3 linked regions of the Ovis aries genome follow. The protein of the gene in region 3 purifies or fractionates together with the protein of the main gene of each other region. This does not show direct contact. Links are inferred from orthologs where the notes say so. Each region holds a gene or a part of one and is shown on either strand. Other genes may lie near its edges.

What was found.
Region 1: the proteins of TUBGCP2 (region 3) and LGALS3BP purify together in Homo sapiens (affinity purification with mass spectrometry; 3 studies listed by BioGRID and IntAct, counting the BioPlex papers as one, with this or other methods). This does not show direct contact. The link is inferred for Ovis aries from reciprocal best matches to the Homo sapiens genes TUBGCP2 and LGALS3BP.
Region 2: the proteins of TUBGCP2 (region 3) and MZT1 purify together in Homo sapiens (affinity purification with mass spectrometry; 4 studies listed by BioGRID and IntAct, counting the BioPlex papers as one, with this or other methods). This does not show direct contact. The link is inferred for Ovis aries from reciprocal best matches to the Homo sapiens genes TUBGCP2 and MZT1.

The regions. Positions count from the first base shown.
Region 1 is NC_056064.1:52,753,840-52,760,192, reverse strand, and holds the start of LGALS3BP (galectin-3-binding protein), read right to left. Parts: upstream 4,162-6,353; 5' UTR 4,001-4,161; intron 1,409-4,000; exon of another isoform or gene 1,363-1,408; intron 1,264-1,362; 5' UTR 1,240-1,263; coding exon 1,188-1,239; intron 148-1,187; coding exon 1-147.
Region 2 is NC_056063.1:48,082,697-48,088,951, reverse strand, and holds the start of MZT1 (mitotic-spindle organizing protein 1), read left to right. Parts: upstream 1-2,216; 5' UTR 2,217-2,259; coding exon 2,260-2,332; intron 2,333-2,358; exon of another isoform or gene 2,359-2,523; intron 2,524-6,255. Other genes in the region: BORA (protein aurora borealis), read right to left, coding at 402-551. UniProt on the Homo sapiens protein: Required for the recruitment and the assembly of the gamma-tubulin ring complex (gTuRC) at the centrosome.
Region 3 is NC_056075.1:51,116,075-51,121,683, reverse strand, and holds part of TUBGCP2 (gamma-tubulin complex component 2), read left to right. Parts: intron 1-155; coding exon 156-315; intron 316-321; exon of another isoform or gene 322-1,044; coding exon of another isoform or gene 1,045-1,053; intron 1,054-1,333; coding exon of another isoform or gene 1,334-2,137; exon of another isoform or gene 2,138-2,532; intron 2,533-2,540; coding exon 2,541-2,748; intron 2,749-2,930; coding exon 2,931-3,130; intron 3,131-3,391; coding exon 3,392-3,581; intron 3,582-3,690; coding exon 3,691-3,836; intron 3,837-5,211; coding exon 5,212-5,392; intron 5,393-5,609. Other genes in the region: uncharacterized protein LOC132658436, read left to right, coding at 1,045-1,053, 1,334-2,137. UniProt on the Homo sapiens protein: Component of the gamma-tubulin ring complex (gTuRC) which mediates microtubule nucleation.

The sequences.
Region 1 (6,353 bases), on a different chromosome or scaffold from region 3:
CTCGGCAGACGACGCTGGCGTCTGTCAGGTCCCACATGTTCTCACACACTGTCCCCCACTGGCCGCTGTAGTAGATCTCCACGCGGCCCTCGTTGGCGGAGCCCCCATCGGCCAGCCGCATGTCACCATCTTTCACGCCTGCGGGCTCTCAAGGGAGAGCAGAGGTCAGCAAGAATGGAAGCTGAGTGCTGGGCCTTCATCCCTGGGCGGAAGCATGGCCACCCCACACTCCTGGGGGCCATGGGCTCTCGTGGGGGTGGTAGAGTTCTCCCCAACAGGGGTGAACCCTGGACCTTAGCTTTGAACACCCCATCCATCCTCGAGGGGATCACCCCCTGGGAGGAGTGAAAAATACACATAGACACCCCCCTCCATACGCACACTGAGGGTGTAGATGTCCCCTTTCTAGTCCTTGGGGTCTGAGTCCTTCGTGCCATTGATCGAGAAGGGCCAGGGGGGCGCTTGGTGCCACCTGAGAGTGGAGTGGCAGGACCCCAAGGGAAGAATAGGCCCACACCGGCCCCACCTGTGGGTGTCTGGGGCCTGGGGTGCAGGTGGGCACCATGGCAAGGAGTGCTGGGAGAGATGTTTGGGAAGGCCTGGGGGCAAAGGTCTAGAGCGCCCTGGAAACACAGGAAGAGTATGCCGGACCAGGAGAGAACGCAGGGTCCCAGCTCCACACTCGTTCTTCTGGGACTCAGCCTGCTGACCTCCCCACCCAGCCCCACCTCAGCCCCTGCTGGAGCCAACAGTGTCAGGCAGGAGCCGGGTGCCAGGTCAAAGGGCACTTCTCAGATGGGGTGTAACAGCCCTTCCATGGGGTCACTGGGAAGAGGAAGGGCCTCTGAGTGTGAAGAGCGTGAGGACAGGTGTTCAGGACTCTGGAAGCTGACTGTCCAAAGGGCACTGACCCCAGGCCCCTCGGGGCTCAGCCATTCTGTGAGCCCCTCCTGCCTGGTCCCTCTGGTTCCGGCTGGATGAGAATGGAGCCCCCTGGCCTCCTCTCCAAATCTCCAAGCCATGAGTGGGGGCAGCCAGGGCTTCACGCAGGAGCGAAGACCCGGGCTGGCCCCTGTAACCCAGGCACCAGGCAGAACACCGCCTTGACTTTCTGCAAGGGGAAGGGGCCGACCTTGTAGAGCAAGGTCACAGACCGCTGCTCTCAGGATTCCAGGGGCTCAGCTCACCTTGAGTCCCCGCGACCAGCAGCCACATCCAGACGAGCCGTAGAGGGGCCATGGCCTTGCCTGGGAGTCCCTTGTCCTGCAGCGAAAGGAGGCAGTAGAGTGAGAGGGTGGAGCTGGACAGGCCTTGGGCCCTCCTTGTGGAGGGTGCTCTGGGTGTCCCAGCGGGGGCCCTCACCTCGTCTGAAGGTGGTCCTCCAAGGATGAGGAAGACTTTCCCAGATGAAGGGAGTGTCTCTGGGCAGTGAGGACAGTGGGGCGAGGTGGGGTGGGGGTGGGGTGGAAAGGTGCCCATATCAGAAAGCTAGGCCCTGGGCATGACTGTCAGGGGGCATGGGTGGGAAGGGCGGGGAGGGAGGAGGCAGAGGGTGCAGGGCCGAGATTGGGGGGGCCTGGGGGAGCCTGCTGAGGGTGGCTGAGAGATGGCAGGGATGGCTCAGATGGCAGGCCAGCCTGCGAGAGTACCCTGAGGTCTGCAGCTGCCAAAGAACATTGCGTGAAATGGACCATGTGGAACCTGGAAGGGAGGGGGACGAGGGTGGGTAGGGTTGGGAGGGAGGGGGACGAGGGTGGGTAGGGCTGGGAGGGAGGGGGACGAGGGTGGGTAGGGCTGGAAGGGAGGGGGACGAGGGTGGGTAGGGTGGGGAGGGAGGGGACGAGGGTGGGTAGGGTGGGGAGGGAGGGGACGAGGGTGGGTAGGGTTGGAAGGGAGGGGACGACGGTGGGTAGGGCTGGAAGGGAGGGGGACGAGGGTGGGTAGGGCTGGGAGGGAGGGGGACGAGGGTGGGTAGGGCTGGGAGGGAGGGGACGAGGGTGGGTAGGGTTGGAAGGGAGGGGGACGAGGGTGGGCAGGGTGGGGAGGGAGGGGGACGAGGGTGGGCAGGGTGGGGAGGGAGGGGGACGAGGGTGGGCAGGGTGGGGAGGGAGGGGGACGAGGGTGGGTAGGGTTGGGAGGGAGGGGGACGAGGGTGGGTAGGGCTGGGAGGGAGGGGGACGAGGGTGGGTAGGGCTGGGAGGGAGGGGGACGAGGGTGGGTAGGGCTGGGAGGGAGGGGGACGAGGGTGGGTAGGGCTGGGAGGGAGGGGGACGAGGGTGGGTAGGGTTGGGAGGGAGGGGGACGAGGGTGGGTAGGGTGGGGAGACGTGTCAGGAGGAGGCCACAGAAACCCGCGAAGGGGTGACAATGGACGGAGAGCAGTGGAGAGACTGGGCTGGGGGTGGGCGCTGGGCGGGCCGGGGAGAGGGCTGAGGGCTAAGAGCCAGGCCTCTGCCTGGGCAGCTGGGTGGGGCTGGGGGGAGACTGGGGGAGGGGAACGAGATGAGAGGACACTCCTGGCCTGGCACTGCCACGAGGTCAGTGTCCCCAAGAAACAGAGGCTGGAGGAGGTGGGGGACCACCAAGGCCACACAGCCAGCCCCGGGGAAGGGGAGCAGGGGGGACCCAAGTCTCTCCGCTTTTGCCGGGGGTCTTGCCTCTGTAACTCTCACAGCTCCCTTTTTCTCTTCGCCCACATCCTGCCCCTCACCTGCCTCCCTCCCTTCATGTCCGCATACCAGCACAGTGAGGTGGGAAGAGGGGCATGGAGGGGGTGCAGAGAGCCCTGCTGCTCTGGCCCAGAGAGGGCCTTGCGACACCCACGCCCCGCCTCAGGGCCCAGCCAGCAGGGCTGTGGCTGCTGTTGTTGCACCCCTCGAGTCAGGGCCTGGTAACCAGACCCTCCGGGGGCTCCCAGGCACGAGGGTCTGCCGACACTGAACACAGTCCCTGGACCAGACTGCTCACACCACTGGCTCATGGAATCCTGACCACGACCTTGAGAAAGACCTTGTTGATCCCACCTTCAAGTGAGGGGGCTAAAGCCCGGAAGGGTAGCCAGCTCTGCTCACACAGCTGGGGAGCTGTGGGTGGTGAGTGGCCATGGGGGAATCTGCCCAGCAGCCACCCTCTCTTCATTACACTGATGGCCGAGTGGCCAGGATGACCAACCACCCAGCACACCAACTGTCCTGGTTTTCGCACTGGAAGTCCCATGTCCTTGGACATACCCTTGGTCCTAGGCACATGGGGACAGCTGGTCACCCTCTGCACTCTCCAGAGAGTGGCGGCCACCAGCTTTGCTCACCCTGAGACACGAACCCAGGGTCCCAGGCAGATGGCCAATCAGGCACTTGGCTCATGGTATGCAAATGTCACTGCCCCTCCGGCTGGCTCTGGCCACCCATTTTTGCCTGACTCATTGGAGAGATGGGGCAGAATTGTCTGCCTGGGGCCATTCCACACTCTTGCGCAAATTGGGGAAAGGTGCAGCCTGAGCTGAAATGGCAACCCACTCCAGTACTCTTGCCTGGAAAATCCCATGGATGGAGGAGCCTGATAGGCTGCAGTCCATGGGGTCGCTAGGAGTCAGACATGACTGAGTGACTTCACTTTCACTTTTCACTTTCATGCATTGGAGAAGGAAATGGTAACCCACTCCAGTGTTCTTGCCTGGAGAATCCCAGGGACAGGGGAGCCTGGTGGGCTGCCGTCTGTGGGGTCGCACAGAGTTGGACACGACTGAAGCTGCTTATCAGCAGCAGCAGCAGCAACAGCCTGAGCTGAAAAGCACTGATCGGAGAGAGCGCCTCGGCTGAACTGCTTGCCCCTTTGGGTGGTCTCCTTGTGCACCAGTGAACAACCTGCCCAAATGGACAGAGAGACACAGGAGCAGCAGTGATGGTCCCTAGTTTCAGGAGGAGCATCAGATCCCTAACTGAGCACAGGCAGGGAGACTTGGCCACTGTAAGATTATACTGTATAAAGAGAGGGACACCCACCTGAGAGCAAGAGGTTACCAGCTTACCTGCCTGGGGCACCTGCAGATGGCTGTCCTAAGGCCTCCCACTTGCAAAGGAACGTCCAGCCCAAAAAAACCCTCCCAGTACAGAGTGTGTCAGGTTGGTCCCAGGAAGTGCTTCAGAAAGCTCAGTCTAGTTTCGATTTCGAGAAACCACCTGACCCTGTTTCCTTCTGGGGTTGGCTGCTGCCAAGGCTTCCTGCTCCCCTCCCCGCCCTTGGCTCTGACTGGGGGCGGCTGGGATGGCGGTGGGGAGGATGGCAGCCGCCCAAGGCTGCAGTCTGGCTGATTCTGCTCTGGTTACAGAGCAAGGCAGCGGCGCCAGGGGTGGGTGCTGGGGGAAGGGAGAGGAAGGGCAGCAGGCGTCAGCGGTCAGAAGAGCAGAGGATGGGCGTGGACAGGTTCTGTCTGCATCCAGGGACCCTGGGCTCTTTCACTGCACGCCCATGCCCGTCTCCTGGGTCTCACATGTTGCTGGGGGCAGCGGTAGGGGGGCTGCTCGCTCGGCTCTAAGCACTTGACATGCCTGGCCTGAACATCTCATCCCTCTGGGGCAGGGGCAGAGCCTCTGGGGTGGACTTTGTTCTGCCCCTCCCACACCCACTCCCTTTCCTTCCCTCTGACAGAGAGCCTGCACCTCGATTTCCCCTGGGGAAGCACTCTGGATCTGGCCTGAGTCTGGCAGGTTGGAGACAATGGTGTCAGGGAGGTGTTGTGATCCCAGCCCTCTGAGGGGTCAGTTTTAGACTGCTGGAAGGAGACCCTGTAGGGAGCAGGCGGCCTGGAGGCGCTGATGCCCCTGGTGCCCCCGACTGTGCCCTGAGGAAAGCCCAGCTGAGGATGCAGGTGAGGGCAGAGCTGAGAGAGGGAGGAACCTAGGTCCTGATGCTATGGTTTGAGCACCTGTGTCCCCCTGGCCTGAACTCAAGGCCAAGCCCTGGCTTCAAGGCCAGATGAGGCGTCAACATCCTATTTTGCTTCTGTCTTTTGCATCCCAGGTTCTGGACGAGAGTTATCCCCTAGGAATGTCCCCAGGTCTCTCTAACCTGCTGGCTGTCACCATGGTCGGCTCCTGAGAATCACCCAGGAGTCTCACAAACTCCCAGCGTCCAGATCCACAATCTCTGGGGTGGGGACAGGCGTTGGCCTTAAAGCCTTGCAGGTGGTTCTATGTACAGCCAGGGCTGAGAACCATCAGTAGGGAGACAGAGTTTCCCTGGCAGCTCTTGAGTCCAAGAGAGTGAGCCCTCGGGTCAACCATCCAATGACTATTTGCCCAAAACGTGAGGTTTGAGGGGACTATGGGCTTATATGATCCCCTCCAAAGAAGCTGTAAAGCTCCGTGGGGGGAAAGGGGAGTGGAGCCGCAGAAACAGAAGCGGCAGAAGAGACTGGAGAGATTTAACATCCCACCCAACTGAAGGAGCCTCAGTGCTGGCTGTCACAGAAACCCTGGCCTTGTCACTTCTAGCCTCCATTGGTTCCTTGCCCCAGTAAGGAGCTGGTCAGGGTCAAGAGTGCAGAGGAAGTCCTTTGGGAGGAACTGGTGGCGATGTTGGAAAAACCCAAGCTGCCGAAGGGTTTGGGATCAAAGCAGGGGTGATGTTCCCCTCCGGCCTTTCCAGTCTTCTGCCCACTAAGGGAACTGGAACAAGAATTGAGGCCATCTGCTCCAGACAGAAGTGACTAAGCTGTGATAAGGAGACCATCCGTGAAAGTCTCGGCTCCACAGATAATCGGGCCGGTGGGGACCATGCGGATGCGGCTGCTATAAGCAGGCAGCCACAGCTGACACAGTCGGAGTGTGCTGGGGGCTGTCAGAGACCAGAGCCCGTATGAAGCCTTTAGACTTTCTTTCGTGCCTCCTCTCCTGCTCCGACACACAGGGGGACGCTGCCTGTGATGCTAACACAGAGACAGCTGGCACGGCTATCATCTTTGATGGGACCCATTCAATACTCCCAACCTCTACAGGAAGTTGTTGTTCAGCCACTCAGTCATATCCGACTCTTTGCGACTCCAAGGACTGCAGCACGCCAGGCTTCCCTGTCCTTCACTATCTTCCAGAGTTTGCTCAAACTCATATCCATGGAATCGGTGATGCCATCCAACCATCCCATCCTCTGCCGCCCCCTTCTCCTCCTGCCTTCAATCTTTCCCAGCATCAGGGTCTTTTCCAATGAGTCGGCTCTTTGCATCAAGTGCTCAAAGTGTTGGGAGCTTCAGCTTCAGCATCAGTACTTCCAATGAGTATTCAGGGTTGATTTCCTTTAGGACTGACTGATTCAATCTCCTTGCTGTCCAATGGACTCTCAAGAGTCTTCTCTAGCACC
Region 2 (6,255 bases), on a different chromosome or scaffold from region 3:
TTCGAGATGTAACCTCTGCAGGAAAGAACTGTACCTGACACATACCATTCAAATAAAATGTGCTGAATACCTGAAAATAATTAGACGAAATAGTTTCTTCTCTATTATGGTATTAGTACTTAGACCATCAACATAGTAACTAGTGGCACCCACAGCTGTGAGAAACATGCTAACTAAAAAAAAGCAAGTTGAAAGCTAAGCCTGGGTGGCAAAAATCCAAAAGAATATTAGTATAGCTAGTATATATAATATTAGTATAATTAGCTAAGTCATTTTTAGTCCAGTCACTATATTATAAAAACCAATAACCATTAGAATTAAAAAGTGCACTCCAGTTTACCGCTTGTAAAGAAAGACTGACATTTAAAGTTATTCGGAAAAAGTAGTCGAGACTAACTTACCGGTAATTTTGTCGATTTAAAAACAGGACTGGAGACAGTTTGTTCATGGAGATTAGAATAATCACCAGGACTTTCAAAAGGATTTAAAATAGGAATCCTTCCTGGAGTTTCAGGTGTTATTTGCATTTTTGATTCTTTGACATCTCCCATAGCACAGAGGAAAAACTAAAAAGAAGTCATAAGTATATATAATAAAAGTACAAAGTTCCACAGACATTCATTTTGACAACTAAAGTGTATTCAACAAAGGTTGTTGTTGTTTAGCATCCAGGTGGAGTCCAACTTTTTGCGACCCCATGGAGTATAGCCCACCAGGCTCCTCTGTTCATGGGATTTCCCAGGCAAGAATGCTGGAGTGGGTTGCCATTTCCTTCTCCAGGGGATCTCCCCCATCTAGGGATCGAATGCACGACGCTTGCCATTGGCAAGCGGATTCTTTACTGCTGAACCACCAGGGAAGCCCCATTACCAAACATACATTTCACAAAAAGAATTAACTCAAAACTTAAGCTCCTGGGGCTTTTTTGTAGTTTACACAAGTGTGATGCTCTAAATAATCTTGAAAGCTAGAAGGGTAGGTAAAGTATTAGTGACAGAATTTTGCAGGAGAATTAACAAGCTCAGAGAAGTCAACTGGTTTGTAAGTAGCACTCAACCGAATGTGAATGAGGTGAGTTCCCCCTTCGGGACAACTAAACGTTCTAATAGGCACAAAACCTTTTCCTGCTAAAGAACAGTGGACCTACAGCTTTTTATTATCTCAAGTCTGTAAACAAACACTTTGTACGTAATTCCAACAGCCCAGCAATTACCCAGCAAACTGCAGTTACTAAACAGTTATTTATAGCATCACCAACTCAATGGACATGAGTTTGAGCAAACTCCAGGAGATGATGAAAGACAGGGAAGCCTGGCGTGCTGCAGTCCACGGGGGTCCCAAAGGGTCGGAAAAGCCTGAGCGACAGAACAACAGTAGCAAATAAGAGACGAGGAAAACTCTGGTCCCTTTGTACATAGGTGCCTGTCTTGCACTTTAGCCCCCATCAGAAAAGAAATGACTGATTAGGGCTACGAAATTAACCGCTTTGGGTTGCCTCGTCTCAAACACCCTTAGCCTTTGGCTAAGACCCCCACCCTCCCACGATGGAAGCGAGACTACATTATTTCCCGTTAAGGTGAGGGGCAGTACAACTAGAGAAAAGAACCCACTCCATGGAAGGCTGATGTGTAGCTAGCTTCCTCGGATGACAGGCAAAGGAGAACACTGACGCCAGTGTCATTCCCATCCCTACTCGATCACTCTTCTCTGGGGCCCCCTCTTCCACACCCACTCCCCGGTAGCTCTCATTCATTCCCAGGCGAGCGTGCAGCTGATTCAGAGCCGGGCAAAGGGAGTTCTCCAACTCGAGACAGGAGGAAAGGCCAGGAATCACAAAGAACATACCTAGTTGTGTATATAAAAAGGAAGCCCCCCCAAAGCGACTCCAGGGCGCTCCCGACGGTGCCGGGTAAGCTCCCACGACAGGCACAGACTCTTTAACTCCCCGCTTCCGCGCTGTCTCAGGCCAACCAGCGCACGGGCCTTGTGCGCGACTGGCCAATGACGTCGTACCGCTGTCCGCGAACCAGCCAATCGCAGCGAGGCCGCGTAGTAAATTCGAATGGCAACTCCTCGCTTCGCGTTCTGCCCAGAGTATCGCGGCTCCAAATTCAAATCAACGCAGCCTCACGCTGGCGAACAGCGCGAGAGGCGGGGCCTGCCGGCGTGAGCCCGGAACGCGCGGTGTGATTGCCCAGGAGAAAGGAAGGTGCTCCAGTTCCGGGTCAGGCCCTTCGCCCGCCTCCCTCGGCCTCCGCCATGGCTAGCAGCAGTGGCGCCGGGTCGGCGGCAGCGGCAGCGAATCTGAATGCGGTGAGGGAGACCATGGACAGTGAGTGCCCGTTTCGCCCCCTTTACCTTGCCTCTGTTCCCCAGAGCCAAGGCCCTGGGGCGGGGCTGGGCCCACGAGGACTTCAGGTCCACTTCCTGCCCCGCTCGGCATCTTTGGAGATGCTTCTAAGGGACCCTCCAGAGCTGATGGCCCCATCCTTTGAGAGTCGTCTCTCCGTTCCTGCGTAGTTTGTCGCGCGCACGGCGTTGCGGTCTCACGTCAGCCCGGCGCGCGCCTGGTCCCTCCCGCAACGGACCCTGCGCGCCGCCTGTTTCCCGCCTCGAGGGCTTTCTCCCGAGTGCTCATTTCGCGCCCTCTCCCGCGCCCAGTCCCCGCGACCTTCCTCGCGCGAGCTCATGCCACGCCTGGTCCCCGCGCCGGTTCCCCCGCATCCCTTCTCCTGCGCCGGCCTCGCGCGCCTTGCCCACCCCGCGCGCCGCATCCAGTGAGGGGAGCGCCTCCGAAGCGCCCCAGACTGTGAGCTCCTTGCAGACAGTGGCTTCCTGTGTTTGATCACCGCTCCATCCCTCCTTGTACCTTGCGCTGCAGCGGGAGCATGTTAAATACCTACCCCTTGAAGAAACAAGTTGTGCTTTAATCAGAGTTGCCCCCGTTTAGTCCTGGAGCCGGTGATGCCGGTGTCCGGAGACCGTGGGCGTATTTACCTGTTTTGCAGCAGGGAGCACGCAGGTAAAAACTGCCCGCAAGTAATAGAGGAAAAAAGTGTCTTGGAGTTACCCTGTCTTTCCTTTCTTTCTATTGCCGGCTCTGCCACTTTATAGCCCTGGTGTAGGCTTGGACAAGTCGTTTAAACATCTTTGAGCCTGCTTTTTTTTTTTTTACCCCAGTGAAACAAGACTGCTACCTCGTGCTGTGTGAGTGCTAAGTCGCTTCAGTTATGTCCGACTCTTTGCGACCCAATGGACTGTAGCCGGCCAGGCTCATCTGTCCATGGGATTCTTCGCTCAAGAATACTGGAGTGGCTTGGGTTGCCAGGCCCTCTTTCAGGGGATCTTTTCAACGAGGGATCGAACCCAGGTCTCCTGCATTGCAGGCAGATTGTTTACCGTCTGAGCCACCAGGGAAGCCCCCTACTACCTCCTAGGATTATTGTAAACATTTAAATAAGATAACCTGATAAAGGTATCTCGAAGGTGACCATTAACAGGTAGTTCTTGCACTGTTTTTGTGTATAAACATCATTCCGCGACCCCTTTTGTTGTCCCCATTTTATTTGCCTGCATCTGTATATGTGTGTTTGATAGATGTTAAGTTTTGCTTTTTTGCGTTTTCCAAGGGATACCCACATGAACTGCTGTCTCTTTCAAACCGTGAAATTCTCATTAAGCAGTGTCAGCCTTCATGTCCTATCTCTGGCTCTTTCACTATAGGCTCCACTTCCTATTAGAGCTCCTTCTTTATGAGGACTTGTGATAAAGCTTATGATTTTCTTTGCACTCGCTGCTGCTTCGCTTTTCAAAGAATTTTTTTTTATTAAGAGTCTTTGCTTCTAATATTTTACTCAGTGTCTGCTTTTGTCTTTTTCTGAAAAATGGAATTTTGTTAATACCATATTCAGCCTATTTTCCCATCCTTCTTGAAATAGCAGAACTTATTAGTTTTATTTTGTAAGTGGATTTGTGTACATAGAGACTAGTGTACACCATTATTGTCTTACATCTTTGCTTGGAAGCCAATGTGGTTTCTGAACAGTGTGAAGTGTATTTGAGGCCTGACTTCTAGTCAGTTTTCTTATATTAACTGTTCCTTATTATATGGGCACAGGATTCCATTTGAATAGAAAGCCCACATTTTCTCTCTGATGAAACTACTGATACAGAAATGAGAACTGATTGTTTTTAATTGGCTGCATCATCAAGGTTTTCACAGACAGAACTGCAGATTATAGTGTTAGAATATGAAAAAGTGAAGAAAGACCAGATTATTTTTTCTCAACCAACACTGGCGGAGAGAGTGTGCAAAGTAGAGAACACTGCTCCTCTATACACAGTGTGTCCCCAAATCAGAAGGTAAAAAGGAAAGCCCCAGGTTGGCAGTGTATCAACATGTGTTAAATGTGGCAGTTAGGTCCTGTCATGTCCATTGGAACTAGCTGCTATCATGCCATGCATGCATGATCAATCACTCAGGCATGTCCGACTCTTTGCCATTCCACGAACTGTAGCCTTCTAGACTTGTCTCTCCGTGGGATTTCCCAGGCAAGAATAATGAAGTGGGTTGCCATTTCCTCCAAGGGATCTTCCCAACCCAGGGATCAAACTGACATCTCCTGAATCATAATTGAGTCCAAAACAGTCAGTCAAAATGTGTAGTTTTGCAAAGTTAATGAAATATTTTCCAGGCTGTCTCTAATGATTGAGGCACAAAGGGAAACATAGGGACACTTTCACTGTTAAGAATTGACCACACACTCAACTGAAAAAGTCCTCAATGCAGTCCTTTAATAATCCCACCTTTCTCCACTCGCATTGCCAGAAATAGAACTTTAACTTGCCCAAGGAACTGGGCTGACCTACATAAGCCAATGCAGGAGACATGGGTTTGATCCCTGGGTCAGGAAGATCCCTGGAGAAGGAAATGGCAACCCACTCCAGTATTCTTGCCTGGGAAATCCCATGGACAGAGGAGTCTGGCGGGCTACAGTCAATGGGGTTGCAAAAGAGTAAGACATGACTTAGCCTTAGCGACAGTAACAACAAATTATGTTTTTGGCAATGGTGATTAAAATTTCCTTCTTCCCTACTTGAGGCTTCAGTGTGATACAGTTGTTCCTCAGTATTTGCCGGGAAATTGGGTTCAAGGCACCCTCACCCACCCACCCATACCACAATCTGTGGGTGCTCAAGTCTGTCATATAAAATGGCTAAGTGTTTGCATATAACCCACATTCATCCTCTTGTATAGGGGCTTCTCAGGTGACTGAGTGGTAAAGAATCTGCCTGCCAAGAATTTTTTTTCCCAAATATTTTCAATACACAGTTGACTTGTATCAAGTTGTAAACTAGCAAAAGAAGTAAAGAGAGTCCACAGTGTGCAAGGCAGTGTTGGTGAAGCAAACATATAGCCCATGCTCCCACCATCAATCCCCTTGCTTTCTCATGTGAGGTCTCCCCTACCTCTATCCTTCACTAAGCTTCTTCAGTTCTTCACTCATCTCAGACTTGACCTTTTGTATTAATCTCTCCTGTCCATGCCACCTACCAGTCTCTGCATAATTGCAATAACTTATCTGGACTCCTTCTCCCCAGGTCTTACACTGGGAAGAACTTGGTAAATGAGACTGAAAGGCTCATGTAAAGACAGTGTAATTATGGTTGTGAAATGTGAGATGAGCCAGACAGGAGAATATACTAAGGCCCTATTGAAGATTTGAGAACTCTTGGAAGCTACTACATTTAAAACAGGAATATGACAAGATCAGATATTCTTTTTTTTTTTTTTTTAAGATTTTGCCTTCAAGGCTGCAGTGCAGTGGCAGGATGGGAGTAACTGAGGCAAAACCCAGCAGATACCTTGAGTTGAGCAGGAGTTTAGGGTCCAGGGAGACCAAGGCAGGCAGAGTTTTTAAGACAGAGTACCTGAGAGGAAAGAGCCTGCACCTAGAGAGAATTCTGGAGGTCCATGGAATGTTCTCCCTCAGGTATTCAGCATGGCATTGATCAGTGTGCAAGGAAAGTACCCCAAAAAGATACCAAAGGATCAAACTGTTTCTAGATAACTATATCTCATGACAAAGCTTGAGAATATGTATAGAAATACAAAACTGTCAAACACCCAGCACAGTAAAATTCACAATGTCTGGCATCCAGTCAGAAATTATTAGGTATGCAAAAACAGAAGAATGTGACTGATGATAAGAAAATTTTAATCTGTTAAAAAACTGATCCTCAGTTGATACAGAT
Region 3 (5,609 bases):
ATGATGGGCGTTGACGTGCGGTTCGCTTCCACGTGTGTGTGTTCCTCACACATGCTTAGGGATGTGTCTTTTCATACAGTAAGTGTGTTAACTTTAAGTGTTTGTGCTAAAGGTGTGTGTTTTCTTTCTGTCTTTAAAAACCTCCCCCCCCCCAGTCTCTGGAACTCACGAGAAAGTTGCTTCGAGACAAGCAGAACAAAAAAAACTCAGGGCAGCGCCTCCCAGTCTTCCCGGCGTGGGTGTACGAGAGGCCTACGCTGCTCGGGGACTTCCTGACCGGCTCAGGCGCGAGCGCAGACGTGGCTGTGCCCATCGGTAGGTGACGCACAGCTTTGGACAGTGGGGCCTCACGGGGACAGGGAAGCTGATCTCCTTGGAGGTGGTGGGTGGATGGCGGCGTGCCGCCCCCAAGCCCTCTGCTGCCCTCGGCCATGTGGCAACACGCGGTACCCGCTGGCCTCCGCACCCTGCCCCCCACCGGTGGGTGGTGATGTGCCCCGGCTCTCAGGAGCGTGCGTGTCTTGGGGCTTGGGCAGACTTGGGGGCAGCGGGATCCCCAGGGTCGTCGTCCTCGACAGTGAGTCACGTCCCTGCAGGTTCTGCCATCAGGATGATGGCCTCGGCCACGAGCACCAAGGGGCGCTGGGGCGTGCGGGTGTCTGTGCCCCTCCCCCACGTCTCATGACCCCCTGGGGGCAGAGAGCTGTGTCTTGCCCTCCTGCTCACAGTGTACAGGGGAGACGGGGGCGGAGGCACGGCCATGTTTACAGGCACTAGAGGAGCCTGCCCTGCAGCGGTCTCGTGTGGTGGGGCTCATGGAGCCTGGTCCCCGGGGCCACACCCAAGGGCGGGAAGCAGGGGCGGGGGGGGGGGGGGGGCTCTGATGATGAGCCTGGGGCCCTGCCTCCTGGAGCCCTGCCTCCTGGGGCCCTGCCTCCTGGAGCCCTGCGTCCTGGAGCCCTGCCTCCTGGGGCAGCTGCACGTTCAACATGATCCAGAGAGGTTCCGTGGGAAAACCCCTGAGGGAAGCTGTTCCCCGAGGTCATGCACTATGTGAGTGTTGATTTGCATGTTTGGATCAGTTAGAAGACGCAGTAGTTTCCAGGCCCACGTGAGGCACTGCTTGGAGCCTTCTTGGGAGGCTTTGCCGGGTTGAGGGGAGGTGCAGCCCCGCGAAGCGGAGGCAGCCGGGCGCTGGTTCTTAGGGCGGCCGGGCTCACGGGGTTCGATGTGGCAGGTTTCCTTTGTAGCGGGATTGCTGTGCTGCCCGCTGGTAAGGGTGCGCTGTGCCTGAGGGTGGCCCCTGAGGCCACCTCGTGTGATGCTATTTCAGGGAGGACTTGGCCAGGACAGGTGGCCTGCCCGTTTCCCTCCAACAGCCACACTGCGTGGGCTCTGGTGGCGAGATCGGCGTCTGTCCCACCGGCCCGGTGTCACCTTTCTGGCCTCCGTCATGCCCTGGCCTGGCACCACAGGCCCCAGTGCCATCCATGCCAAGATGCCTGTGAGCATCACAGTCATCCTCGGTCCTCCCTGCTGTCCCCCGGACGTAGCCTCTCCTGGGGGGCCCTGCCTCCTTGCGTGGCGTGCAGCAGCCCTGCTGGGCATCCCTCGCCAGCTACGTGGTGCCCCCCACAGTCATTTTGCCGCCCAAGTCCCTTCCTACAGCAGAGGCGTGCCCCCCGCCTGTGACCAGGCCGTCCCTCCTCACGCCAGCCTCCAGCTCCGTCTGCTTGTCTGGGCCATCCAGCCCACGGCTGGGCAGCGTAGACTCGCGTCTCCACAATTCCTGGCCTGTTCCCGAGGCCGCGGGCACAGGCGTCTTGTGGCTTCTAACCGTGTGTGTGGTTCCCGCTGGGTCCCCGAGCCTCGGGCTCAGGTCCTACAGACACGGCCAGTTTCCTGGAGTCTGAGCAGCACGTGGCTCTGTCCCTCGCCCCTCCACAGCCCCCACCCCAGCCTTGAGGCCTCAGGCAGAGCTCCCAGCTCTCAAGTTTCCCCTTTCTGGGGGACCCCATCTGTGAGGAGGGATCTGCTGTGCCCCATGAGGCCCAGTGTGCTGTCTGACGCCCCTCCCGATCGCCACGTCCGTGACGGGCTCCAGCTTCCCTGGTGTCTCCTCCTGGCCACGTGGTGACCGTGGCGCCCGCCTTTGACCCTCCCACAGCAAAGCCTGGTCCCGGCCTTCTTCTGAGCGACCCAGCCTCACCAGGTTGTGAGTGTTGTGAGGCCAAGACGCTCACGTCCCTTTGAAGATGAAGCGGTTATTTGTGTGTGGAGGGTTTCCCTTGCTTTAAGGCTCTGATCGTCAGCTCCAGACTCGCCGTGTGGTCCCTGCCTGTCGGGTGGTCAGTGCCTCTGCTGGTGGAGGTTGTGGAGTCTCAGCCGTTGGTTCCCTGATGGGATCAGTTAAGCCAGGCAGTCACCTTGGTTTTCACATCTGCGGTGCTGGAGGAAGTTACATGGAGGGAGGGGGTGGGGGAGAGAGGCCAGTGGAGTGGGGCTCTGGAGGCGAGGCCCGCTGGTGTCTGCACCCACAGGCACGCTGCCTCTGGCCTCCCAGGAGGCGGCCGTCGTGGAGGACCTGCTGTACGTGCTGGTGGGTGTGGACGGCAGGTACATCACGGCCCAGCCCCTCACCGGGAGGCAGAGCCGAACCTTCCTCGTGGACCCCAATCTGGACCTGTCCATCCGAGAGCTGGTGAGCAGGATCCTGCCCGTGGCTGCCAGCTACTCCACAGTGACCAGGTAGGCACCCGGCTTGCCACAGTGACTGGAGCGCGTGCACGGAGCCCTCCTGCAGAGAGGCCGGCCTCCATGCAGGGCCCGCAGACCCGGAGGAGCGCGGGAGGTGGCACCCACAGGCCCTCGGGCCATCCCTCCCGAGACGCAGCCCCTGCTGCTCGTGCTCAGGGCCGCCTTCCTCTCAGGTTCATCGAGGAAAAGTCCTCCTTCGAGTATGGACAGGTGAACCACGCTCTGGCCGCCGCCATGAGAACGCTGCTGAAGGAGTACCTGATCCTGGTCACACAGCTGGAGCAGCTGCAGAGGCAGGGCCTGCTGTCTCTGCAGAAGCTCTGGTTCTACATTCAGCCAGCCATGCGCACTGTGGACATCCTGGCCTCCCTAGGTGTGAGGGCCTGGTGGGAGGGACCCTCTGGGTCAAGGTGCTTGTCTTCGATTTTTTCAAACGGTCCGAGGCTGTGTAGCTTTACGTTTTATGAATTTGCGAGAGACTGACTCTGGGAGTTCCCAGAAACCCTAGCTTCATAGTTTGAATTTATCCCAGAAAGAGGACCTCTCCCCTGAGAAGGTGGGAGATGAGCTGAGGGCTCTCGCTCAGCGTGGCCAGGGGCCCTCTCGGCACTGAACGCCGCCCTCTCCCCGGCAGCCACCTCGGTGGATAAAGGCGAGTGTGTCGGGGGAGCGACCCTGAGCCTCCTGCACGACCGGAGCTTCAGCTACACGGGGGACAGCCAGGCGCAGGAGCTGTGTCTGTACCTCACCACGGCCGCCAGCGTGCCCTACTTCGAGATCCTGGAGAAGTGGATTTACAGGGGCATCATCGACGACCCGTATAGGTGGGGCGGGGGGCCGCGGGGGGGGGGGGCCGCGGGGGCGGGGGGGTGGAGAGCGGCCCTGCGGCCCCCCGCCCCCTGCACGCCTGGGACCGCGCGCCCTGCCTTGCAGCGAGTTCATGGTGGAGGAACACGAGCTGCGCAAGGAGAAGATCCAGGAGGATTACAACGACAAGTACTGGGAGCAGCGCTACACCGTGGTGCAGAGACACATCCCGTCCTTCCTGCAGAAGATGGCGGGCAAGGTGCTGAGCACGGGTGAGTGCCGGCCCCGCACGCCCCCGCGCGCCTGCGTCTCCACACAGCAGCCAGCGCCCCTGCCACTGCGCTCCCCGGGCGCCACTGCGCTCCCCGGTCCCCGGGCGCCTGGGTCTCCACACAGCAGCCAGCGCCCCCGCCACTGCTCCCCCGGGCGCCTGCGTCTCCACACAGCAGCCAGCGCCCAGCGCCCCTGTGGATACCAGCTAGGGGACCACCCCACTGAACTTGGATCTGACACTTAACCGCCGGGGCAGTGTGGGCCCAGGGATCAGGCCTCCCTCGAGGCCTGCCCCGGCAGACGCCCGTCATGAGCATCGGGTCCCCAGGCCGCTGCGTGTCTGTCAGTGTGGCCCCCAGTCAGGGTCCTGGGGCCTCCCCAGGCTTGATATTTGCTGTGACGACCCCCAGACTTGGGGAAACTTTACTTAGCAGATACGCTGGCCTGCTATAAAGGATGTTGTAATGGATACAGACAAACAGCCCGAGGAGGTCTGCAGGGCAGGTCTGGAGGGTCCCACACTCGGGAGTGTGTCTGTCCCCGAGGAGCTGGGGGCCACCAGGCCCCTCCCTCCTAGCAGGTGGACGTGCTCATCAGCCCAGAAGCTCTCCAAGCCTGTCCCGTAGCGGGATCACGTTGGTTCCAGGACAGGGCACGACTGGTCCTCTCGTGGGCCGTTGGTCCCTAACTTGACCACCAGCCCCTCTCCTCCCCAGGTATCGGGAAGGGCCGAGGGTCTCGCTGTCCTGCCATGTGGTTGGTCCCTCTGGCCGCTGGCCTGCCTCCTGAAGGTCTGCAGGGACGGCCAGGAGTCCCCTTGAGGGTGTGAACTCAGGTGGGGTGAGAGGGTTCCAGGTGCTCAGTGATGGACCAGGAGCAAGGCCAGACGCACGTGCCGCGTTTCTCCCAGCATCACAGGCCAGCAGCGGAAAAGCAGGGAAGGGCACAGGCCCTGCTGGACCGGTGGTGCTTCTAGGCATCACCTTGTGGGTCAGGAACCTGTGTAGAGACACGTGTGTTACACGTCACCTGGGGAGGCTCCAGCCAGGGCCCTGACGTTGGTTCTGAGAGCTGGGCTGGGGGCAGGGCTGGGAAGTGGTGCAGGGTCTGGCTCTCTGAGGTGATTCTCATGGCCTCGATGAGGAAAGTCCGCGGTGAGGAGTCGCAGGAAGTCGCACGCTCCGTGGATGACGCCTGTATTGTGCTGCTCTGCTCTGGGCGGGGCAGGGGGCGTGGTTTCTGGGACCGTTCTCTCCCAGGTGGTTCTGTTCCTGGCCTCGGGCTAGCGATAGGACTCGGCCTCTCAGGTCCAGGCCTGCGGTTGGTCACTTGTGCAGCAAAAGTTGCGATGCGCTTTTCTCCATCCCTTTCCAGGAAAATACCTGAACGTGGTCAGGGAATGTGGCCATGACGTCACTTGTCCGGCGGCCAAAGAGGTCATCTACACGCTGAAGGAGCGGGCGTACGTGGAGCAGATCGAAAAGGCCTTTGGCTACGCCAGCAAGGTGCTGCTGGGCTTCCTCATGGAGGAGAAGGAGCTCGTAGCCCACCTGAGGTGCGCGGCCGCCTCCTGGGGGGAAGGGGCTCGCGGCCCGCCTGAGGGGGGAAGGGGCTCGCGGCCCACCCGAGGTGCGCGGCCTCCTCCTGGGGAGAAGGAGCTCGCAGCCCACCTGAGGGAGGAAGGGGCTTGCGGCCCATCTGAGGTGCGCGGCTTCCTCCTGGAGGGGGAGGAGCTCATAGCTTACCTGAGGTGCGCAGCTTCCTCCTGGGGA